Xenopus tropicalis: one gene and its partner. The protein of the gene in region 1 purifies or fractionates together with the protein of each later gene. This does not show direct contact. Links are inferred from orthologs where the notes say so. Each region holds a gene or a part of one and is shown on either strand. Other genes may lie near its edges.

Region 1 (4,616 bases):
TAACCTTTAGTATGTTATAAAATGGCCTATTCCTAGCAACTTTGCAATTGGTCTTTCTAATTAATTTTTTTGAATAATTTGCCTTTCTCTTCTGCCTCTATACAGATTTCAAATGGGGGCCAAAAAATATTGCTCTGTGAGGCTACAATTTTATTATTATTATAATTTTGTATTACTTATTTTTCTAAGTAGGCCCCTTAACTATTCATATTCCCATCTCTTGTTTAAACCACTACCTGGTTGCTAGGGTAAATAAGACCCTAGCAACCAGATAGCTGCTGAAATACCAAATGGAGAGCTGCTGAACAAAAAGCTAAATAACTGAAAAACCATTAAAAATAAAAGTGAATTGAATGCGAACTACCCCTTTAAGCTAACTGATCACAAACACAAATGTTTGCAGATCCCCTAACAGAAGTGCGCGTATGAATACTTTTACATCCTAAACATTTTAGGGTAAAAAAAAAAAAGCACCCCCACCCGCACTTTTGTACAGTATCCCTGGGAGTCAGTGGGAACGGCAAGAGGTAGTTGGGAGGTTAACTTTTTACGCCAGCAGCGAATCCACTAAGTGTCACATTAGCTGTAGGTCAGTCTGTGTATGGGCCATCTTTAGCCTCCCCTAGTATCATCCTGCAAAAAAAAATATATATATTTTTATATATATATATATATATATATATATATATATATATATATATATATATTTGTCTGTTGCAGGATGATGCTAGCTTACTTGCCCCCCCTTGGAAAATTTTCTGCGGACGCCCATGGCTCCCAGTAGGTATCAGAATAGCACTCAATAGTAGGGTTGCCACCTGTCTGGTATTGGCCCGGACAGCGCAGTTTTTGGAAGGACTGTCTGAGTCAAAACCTTCTGCTCGGTTTCCAAAATTAGGAAAACTGGGCAGGACTCACTGACATTGACACGGCGATCGGGAAATCGACGCTCACCATGTCATAGCCCCACCCCCTTGGCATCAAGGCCTCGCCTCTTCCCCACCCCAAAACTTTGCGGACAGGGACGAGGTACTGAGATGGCACCAACACACCAATATTACAGTTAAAAAAAAAATACATTTGCTGATTCAAGAATAACATTTTAAATGGCAGAGTGAATTATTTGCTATGTAAACATTGTAATTTAGAAATAAAAAGTACCCCATAAAAAACATAACTGAATCCCTTCAATAACTCCTGCTATTGAGCTCCTGTCACATTACAGGCTGTGCTTATACAGATCAATGGCAGTAGCTTTGCTTTCTTTGCCTCGGCCATCTCATAATTCTGCTTTGTGCAGTCACCACTATTTAGCCCCAAGAGCAAGCCACCCTTGCCTAAATCCGTCCCTATTTCATAATAAGCACCTACCCGGCTCCTTCCAGCCGCCTCCTCCCTCACTACTAATTCCAAACTCCGCGCCTTCGCGTCACTTCCGCCCACTGACACAACTGGTTGCCTTAGCAACCGCAGCTAGGAAGCTGCACAGCAATGACGCTCTCCTTTTCATTTAGTAGTGTAATTGCCCTTGTGTCACAAACCCTTCCAATATTTGATTTCACCTCTTTCTTAACCCTTCGGCCTCCCCAAAGCAAAAGTCACACTGGCCCCCATACATTCTAGCCAGCATGAGCGGCGTACCGGGGGACTGAGTAGATTACGTCAGTAGACCGCCGAACGCACGATGCGCTCGATTCTCTCAGTAGTTGATTGCTCCGGTCTATTGCCTGGGACCCGGAAGCAGTGTGCGGGTAGCACATGGGTTGCGCTTGGCTGAAGCCGGAGCTGTAGCAGGGGGGTAGGATCGTGTCTCCCATATGTGCGGAGGGCTTGGCAGGAGGGAAGCATGGATGAGTGTGACACTGCCCCCAGCAAGCTTGTTAGTGAGGGCGACTTCGTGGTACTGAAGAGGCAGGATGTGTTCAAAGCCGTGCAAGTGCAGAGGAGGAAGTAAGTAGGAGTGTTGGTGCAGTGACAGCAGTGCGCTCTCACACAGGGCTATGCGCATCAGCACTTCATTCAGCATGTTTAGCGCCTGCCATGCTGGCATCGTGTCTGTAAGGGGAAAAACACACGGAGCTACTAGTAGCAGCTACTTTTTCATGGTTACTAAACTCCAGAAAATACCCTGCCATAGACAATACTGAGAATTGCCTCTGCTAAGGGCTCTGGTACACGGGGAGATTAGTCGCCCGCGGCAAAACTCCCTGCTCGCAGGCGACTAATCTCCCCGAGTTGCCTTCCCTCTGCCATCCCACCGGCGAACATGTAAGTCGCCGGTGGGATGGCAGACGCGGCGGGGCGATTTCGGGAAATCGCCGAAAAAGCCTCGCGAGTCTTTTTCGGCGATTTGCGCGAAATCGCGCCGCCGCGTCTGCCATCCCGCCGGCGACTTACATGTTCGCCGGTGGGATGGCAGAGGGAAGGCAACTCGGGGAGATTAGTCGCCCGCGAGCAGGGAGTTTTGCCGCGGGCGACTAATCTCCCCGTGTACCAGAGCCCTTAAACACACGTAGAGACAATTATCAGTATATGATCAGTATTGTTTGTTTTAGTAGCTGTGATGATAAGTAGCTGCTACTAGTAGCTCTGTGTGTCTTCACCCTGAGGGCAGTGGTACACGGGGAGATTATTCGCCCACGACAAATCTTCATTGTCGCGGGCGACATCTCCCAATGTAAATGTAAATGTAAATGATCAGCATTGTCTATTTTAGTAGCCACAAGTAGCTTTGTGTGTCTTCACCCTAATGGTTATCGCTGTCACCTACTGGCCTGCTGATTCAGCATCTGTTATTGTGTGTAATTATAAAAGCAGAATGGTGACTAATGTTTGGTCGGCAAGTTTGTAGTTGGTCCTTAATCCTGGAGCATGCTGTGGGAAATGCTTGTCAGTAATTTGCTCTGTCAGGGGCAATTGTGCTGAACAAATGTATGTATATTTTTATTTATATAATAATCCTCATGCAGGCAGCACTGTATAACAGATATCGATTGTACCAATCATAGAAAACTCTTTACCCACTGGAAGTCCAACGCTCCTACATCATGCACATAATGAGCAAGCTGAGGGACTCCCTTATTAGGCTGATGCCACACACGGCGTAGGGCTGATTTTTTCGGCAAGCGGAAAAACGCTTGCCGAAAATTCAGCCCTACGCCTGCTACTTGTGCCTGCACCCGAATGAATGGGATACGCTTGGGTGCAGGCACATGTAGCCGATATACGCATGAAAACGCGAGAGAATGCAAAGTCTCGCGTTTTCATGCGTATATCGGCTACATGTGCCTGCACCCGAGCGTATTCCATTCATTCGGGTGCAGGCACAAGTAGCAGGCGTAGGGCTGAATTTTCGGCAAGCGTTTTTCCGCTTGCCGAAAAAATCAGCCCTACGCCGCATGTGGCATCAGCCTTATGTGCAAGCATGTCATCAAATATGACCAACCACACCAGGAGTTACCCAGCTATTGCAAGAGGCATGTTTTGGGGGAAAAAACAATTTAGACCCTTACTGGAGTGCAGGCTCTATAAGCTTTTTCAATGACAGATGCCCTTTAATGTAGCAACAAGTAATAGAAACCTGCATACTAGTACTGTAACTAAAAGTTCTAAGCACCATAGCAGAATTCCTAAACTTTGATTAATTTATTATTCTTTATTTATATAGCGTTGACACATAATGCTCCTGCTGGAACTGAATCTAGGATCCCAACGCTTCAGTGCTAATCACTATCCGATAGAGATTCTTTCTACTTCTAGAACCCACACCATCTTCTGATTCAGCTGTCTTTGTGTTGTCCCCACAAGCAAATGTCACTGCAAAGAGAATTATCCCATATTTCTGTATGTGCAAAAGTGCAGCAACAAATGTACAATATTTTGGGATTATCCTTAATGGTTTATGTTCAAGCTAGGATCTTCCTGCTGCTGTTAACTGACTCATATCCAATAGCAAGGAGTTGCAGCATACTGGTTTTGTAAACTGCTGGTAGAATGACCTCTTCATATTAAATAGCCCTGATAACAGTACCTAATAAGGGATTTCATAAATATTCTGTTAATGTGTGCTGATCAGATGATTGGGAACAGATATTATAGTGGCAAGGATATTTTTGTGACTGGGAAAGGTAGACAATTTTGGTCATATCCCCTCGTTTGTACGACAGTATCTGTAAATACAGTGGCTTGCAAAAGTATTCGGCCCCCTTGAACTTTTCCACATTTTATCACATTACAGCCACAAACATGAATCAATTTTATTGGAATTCCATGTGAAAGACCAATACAAAGTGGTGTACACGTGAGAAGTGGAATGAAAATCATACATGATTCCAAACATTTTTTACAAATAAATAACTGCAAAGTGGGGTGTGCGTAATTATTCAGCCCCCTTTGGTCTGAGTGCAGTCAGTTGCCCATAGACATTGCCTGATTAGTGCTAATGAGTAAATAGAGTGCACCTGTGTGTAATCTAATGTCAGTACAAATACAGCTGCTCTGTGACGGCCTCAGAGATTGTCTAAGAGAATATTGGGAGCAACAACACCATGAAGTCCAAAGAACACACCAGACAGGTCAGGGATAAAGTTATTGAGAAATTTAAAGCAGGCTTAGGC
Region 2 (4,617 bases), on another chromosome or scaffold:
ATCTATCTAATGTATCTGTTAGTACAGTCACTTCACAGCTGTCAATGTAAAAAAAACATTTTTGCAACCTATTTTCTTTCAATATCAGGGGATGCCCTAATGTTCTCTTTATAGATCTACTATGAATAAATAATGTGAGAACTTATACAGACCCATTATAAAATAGATGCAAAAATAGTATAGGTAAAACAGTTATTTGCCCATAGGTTTGTCTCACTATGTTCTGCAGGCTTGGACCTATGGCTCAAGTCCTGGTTATCATCAGCCTTAATTTATATAGTTGTTTGGGATCTGTTAACAACTACATAAACCTGACAAACCTTGGACAGTTACAGAGAACTATGGCTGGTTTTGCTACTAAACTGTTTTATCAGTAAGCAAATGCATCTGATTTTTATGTGTTCCTTTATTCTATGCAATCAGAGTAATTTCTCCAGCCTTGAACCTAAATCCATGCATTATTTTATTTGAAAAGAGTCCTCCCTTGCTTGCTCTGTATCTTAATCTGATATTTCTTGCCTTGGTAGTGGTGTCCAATACAGTTGTTCTATTACTGTAAAAAAGGCATTTTAGAGGTCCACAAGCTCTGCTATTGTATTATATGAGGCAGACTATGTTAGCTGAAACTAAGAATGCTCAACATTTTGGGATTAAAGCACATTATGCCTCTCAGTGATACTGAGTTATTGCTGTATTGATACTGTATATAGCTAGACTGCAATGTCAAGGGTTATTTTAAAGGAGAATGCAAGTCAAAATTGAAAAAGCATACTGCCCAATAGTCCTCCTATTGTTTAGTAAAAACACCACACTTTTGGCTCACCTAATCAAATATTTACTCAGTCACACTTACTTCATATTTTCTAGAACAGGCAGCCATCTCTAAAAAGGTATTCTCCCTTCCTTTACCTCCTTGCTTCATACTGCACATGTGTTTCATTCCCTCCCCCCCTCCCCTCTGGCAGATCCGCTTCTGATTGGCTGGTGGGCATGTGTAGCTTAGAACAGCAGACAGGATCAAGTTACACACATGCTCAGAGAATAGGAAGGCTGCCACTGGCACCTACAGGAAGGGGAGAGAGATTTCAGTGATGTCACTGTAGTCTTCACACTGCTGTAGGCTGCCAGCCCCATATCTCAGAGAAGCAAGCAGGGATCTGGGAATTTAGATATGCAGTAAGTACTTAAAAAGAATGCCTTTAGACTTACTATTAATTTATATTAACCTTTCATTGTCCTTTAAGCAGATGTGGCATACTACCCACTATTTTGCTTTGTTGTTAATTGCTTTATCTCCCCCTGTTATTTCATATCATAAAGAAATGAAAGGCAGAGTGCAGATACAGTAATACCTTCTTTTCAAGCATCTCCTAAAGCTGGTGAGATAAAATTAGTGCAAAATGAGTTCTTACACTATGGTTTAACAATGAAACAGAATATGTTTTCAGTAAATGTTCCATTTGTTGTGTATTTCCTGGGTAAAAATTCTACTTAATAAAAGGGGAAGGTAGCCGCACACATCTATGTCACTAGCAACAAACAGTGTGAAACTGTATATGTCACATATACTGCATGCCACACATGCATACACATTACCTGATTCACATACTACTGATCCTGGCTTCAGTTCCAGCATCATTGTGATAAGAGAAATGTCAGTGGAATAAAGGATTTGTGTGCGGTGAGGAAGATTCAGGGTCCATAACTCTGGAGTAGGGTATAGGATATAGACCCATCCTCCTTTACTGCAAATCACCTTGGACCCATACTTTTTTCCTATTAAGTCAGTGGAATGTCTGATGACTCCATATTTTGTCTGTGTCTGGCTACCATTTTGGATGGTAATTGGAAACATTGAGTCATGACCCAGGAAGACAATGGCTGTATCTCCATCTTCAATAAATTCTTTGTATTCCACAAAACTCATGCTGTTATATTCTGCTGTTCAACCTAAAAGTAAAGTGAACCAAAAAATATTGTCAGTTCTAACTGAAAGCAATTTCACAAACTATAACCAGTTTAATGGTGCTTTCTAAAAAGATATATGTCTAATTTTAATTATATTTGATGAATATATTTGGTTTGAGATTGCCCAACCTATGCATTAAGCAGTTTGCATGGTAAGAAGTATAAGACCAAGACGAAGGGCAGTAAATGTATATATTTTATGACACATGCACTGTCTATCAGAGAATCTGTCATCAATAACCCCTATTAAAATTTAAGTAGCACCTTATACCAATGAAAAAGTCGTGCACTATAGAGCCCAGTTTATGAAAGTGAATGAATGCCAGATTTATCTTAAGCGCCAACATGAAAACGACTTCATTTATTAGAGCACACTTTAGATATACCACAGTTAAATGTGCTACCACTACTAAATGGGCTGTTGTTTGCTATTTTAATCTAATACATTTAGCCCAATAAACCTTTCAAGCAGTAACATGGCTAAAACACTGATCTGATATATATGCTCTCCAAAGAAATCTACAAATCTTTACTATGACATTGTGAGCATTACAAACTAGGAATTACAGTACTTGGTCACAATGCTTTGGGATGTTACACTTTGACATCCTTGCCTTTGGAATGTCATAGCTTGCATAATACAAGGAATACCCAGTTCTTCTTTGCACCTGCTTTGTGTATTATATATCAGAAACTGGAAGCAAAGGACCTTTTCCCTTTCCTATTTGAAGATCACTATTTAAGGAGCTCCCTGACCCTGGATTGTATTACTCCACTACAGAATGTAAAAGTATTCACGTGATACATCATAAGCAACTGGAGTATCACACCCACCACACACCGACTTGACATATTGATGGGCAGTGGGCCACTGAGGAATACATCATCAGAAACTGGATTATCATTATTATTAATGGAAATGAGTGAATATATCACACATTTTAGACAAGCTAACAGATGTCTTAGCCTCATGGATATTCTGTTTTATAAAAACTCACGATTTGTAGCCGGAATGTAGCAAGGAACTACTGTACACAAGATCCCTGGCAAAACGCCGCTTCCTCCTACTAGGCACGTGTGCCGGTTCCGCGTCGCACAGAGATGACGTCACGGAGACTTGCGCTTGTCAGTGGTGCTGGCAGGGAAGTTCCCTGAGCATATAAACCACGTATCTTGGCTGGGTTTAGGATGGAACATTAGCAGCCTAAGCAAAAATGCGTGCTGGCAGGATAAATTAATAATAATATACATTTCGTTAGAAAAGATACATTTGGGCTTTATACAACTAATCCCTTAGAGCTGATGCGCACGTCTTCTGCTGCACCTTTTCTGTGAGATGAACCTGTGTTACCTACAATGGGCTATTAAATATAAATAAATGCCGCATTTGTATTTGAAATCATTACTGTGACCCCCTCACACTTTCTTTACAAGCCCGCCCTAGTGCCGTGCGGCTTTCTGCTGTCAGCAGTGACTTCTCCATCAGTACCTTCCCACACCATAACCACCCTGCTCTATACGCTTTTCTAAATCACAGTTAATTCCAATTTCCAAATTGCTAAAAAAAACATTTCTCCACAGCAACAGTACTAATGAAAGGATAGGATGGTAGTGGGCACTTGGACAAATGGATTATAAAGCATGCATTCGTTTTACCAGATGTGCATGCCAATGTCAAATCTCCACTGTGATATCACTTGTTGAAGGGCCCTTTATATTTTTAAAAAATGATGTCACACAAAGATGTCAGTGATATTCTTTGATAGGATGAGAGTTATTCTGAAATTCTGAAATTTTAAAGCCACACACGTGTCCCACAGGCCTGAAGATTGCCTAGCCCTAAAGGTAGTAGAGACCTCATTTTTTTTGTTAGTATAAAGATTTTGTAAAGATAATACTCTAGCTAGTGGATAGTGACCAACATGTTGCTCCCCACCCCCTTTGATGTTGCTCCCAGTGGCCTCAAAGCCCACTTTTAAATCTCTGGCTTGGAGACAAGTTTTGGAAGCACGGATACAGAGACTCCAAGAAGAGCATCCCGCAGGCCAGCAGTCCACATGGTGCTACCAAATAACCAATCACAGTGCTTATTTAGAATACTCAAAGAACTTTTTTCATGCTTGTGTGGCTCACCAACAATTTGTACATCTGAGTGTGGCTCACAAGTAAAAAAGCTGGGGATCCCTGCTCTAGGCTACACCCAGTGATTTATTTGCAAGAAATAAAGAGAATTTCTTAAACTTGTGAGCATTGTGAAAGTTGCCCTAAAACATAGAAAGACTGATTTAGACATAGACATACACACATGTTTATTGGATGATTATCTTGTCCTTACCAATTTAAGCCCCCTTGATCTGATCACTCTTCACTCCATAATCATACCCTTGGTGGGTTCACTTGTTAGTTTAGGCTCCCTACATCCTGATATGGCTCTCATACAGAACACCTATACTAAATGCATAGATTAACATGTTGCCACACAATAATTGATGTATATTAACACAGAATCTATGGGGTTTTCACAGTAACTAAGGCTATGGACAAACAAAAGGAAACTATCATCTCATCCAAGAGACAAATAGCATATGACTTACATTTAGCAGGTCATGCAGCTATTAACCCATAGTAAGGGGATACATTAGCCAGGCA

The links.
Region 2: the proteins of trmt6 (region 1) and trmt61a purify together in Homo sapiens (affinity purification with mass spectrometry; 4 studies listed by BioGRID and IntAct, counting the BioPlex papers as one, with this or other methods). This does not show direct contact. The link is inferred for Xenopus tropicalis from reciprocal best matches to the Homo sapiens genes TRMT6 and TRMT61A.

The regions. Positions count from the first base shown.
Region 1 is NC_030681.2:25,117,260-25,121,875, reverse strand, and holds the start of trmt6 (tRNA (adenine(58)-N(1))-methyltransferase non-catalytic subunit TRM6), read left to right. Parts: upstream 1-1,748; 5' UTR 1,749-1,846; coding exon 1,847-1,950; intron 1,951-4,616. UniProt on the Homo sapiens protein: Substrate-binding subunit of tRNA (adenine-N(1)-)-methyltransferase, which catalyzes the formation of N(1)-methyladenine at position 58 (m1A58) in initiator methionyl-tRNA.
Region 2 is NC_030684.2:98,372,807-98,377,423, reverse strand, and holds the start of trmt61a (tRNA (adenine(58)-N(1))-methyltransferase catalytic subunit TRMT61A), read right to left. Parts: upstream 3,060-4,617; 5' UTR 2,967-3,059; intron 1,951-2,966; 5' UTR 1,928-1,950; coding exon 1,597-1,927; intron 1-1,596. UniProt on the Homo sapiens protein: Catalytic subunit of tRNA (adenine-N(1)-)-methyltransferase, which catalyzes the formation of N(1)-methyladenine at position 58 (m1A58) in initiator methionyl-tRNA.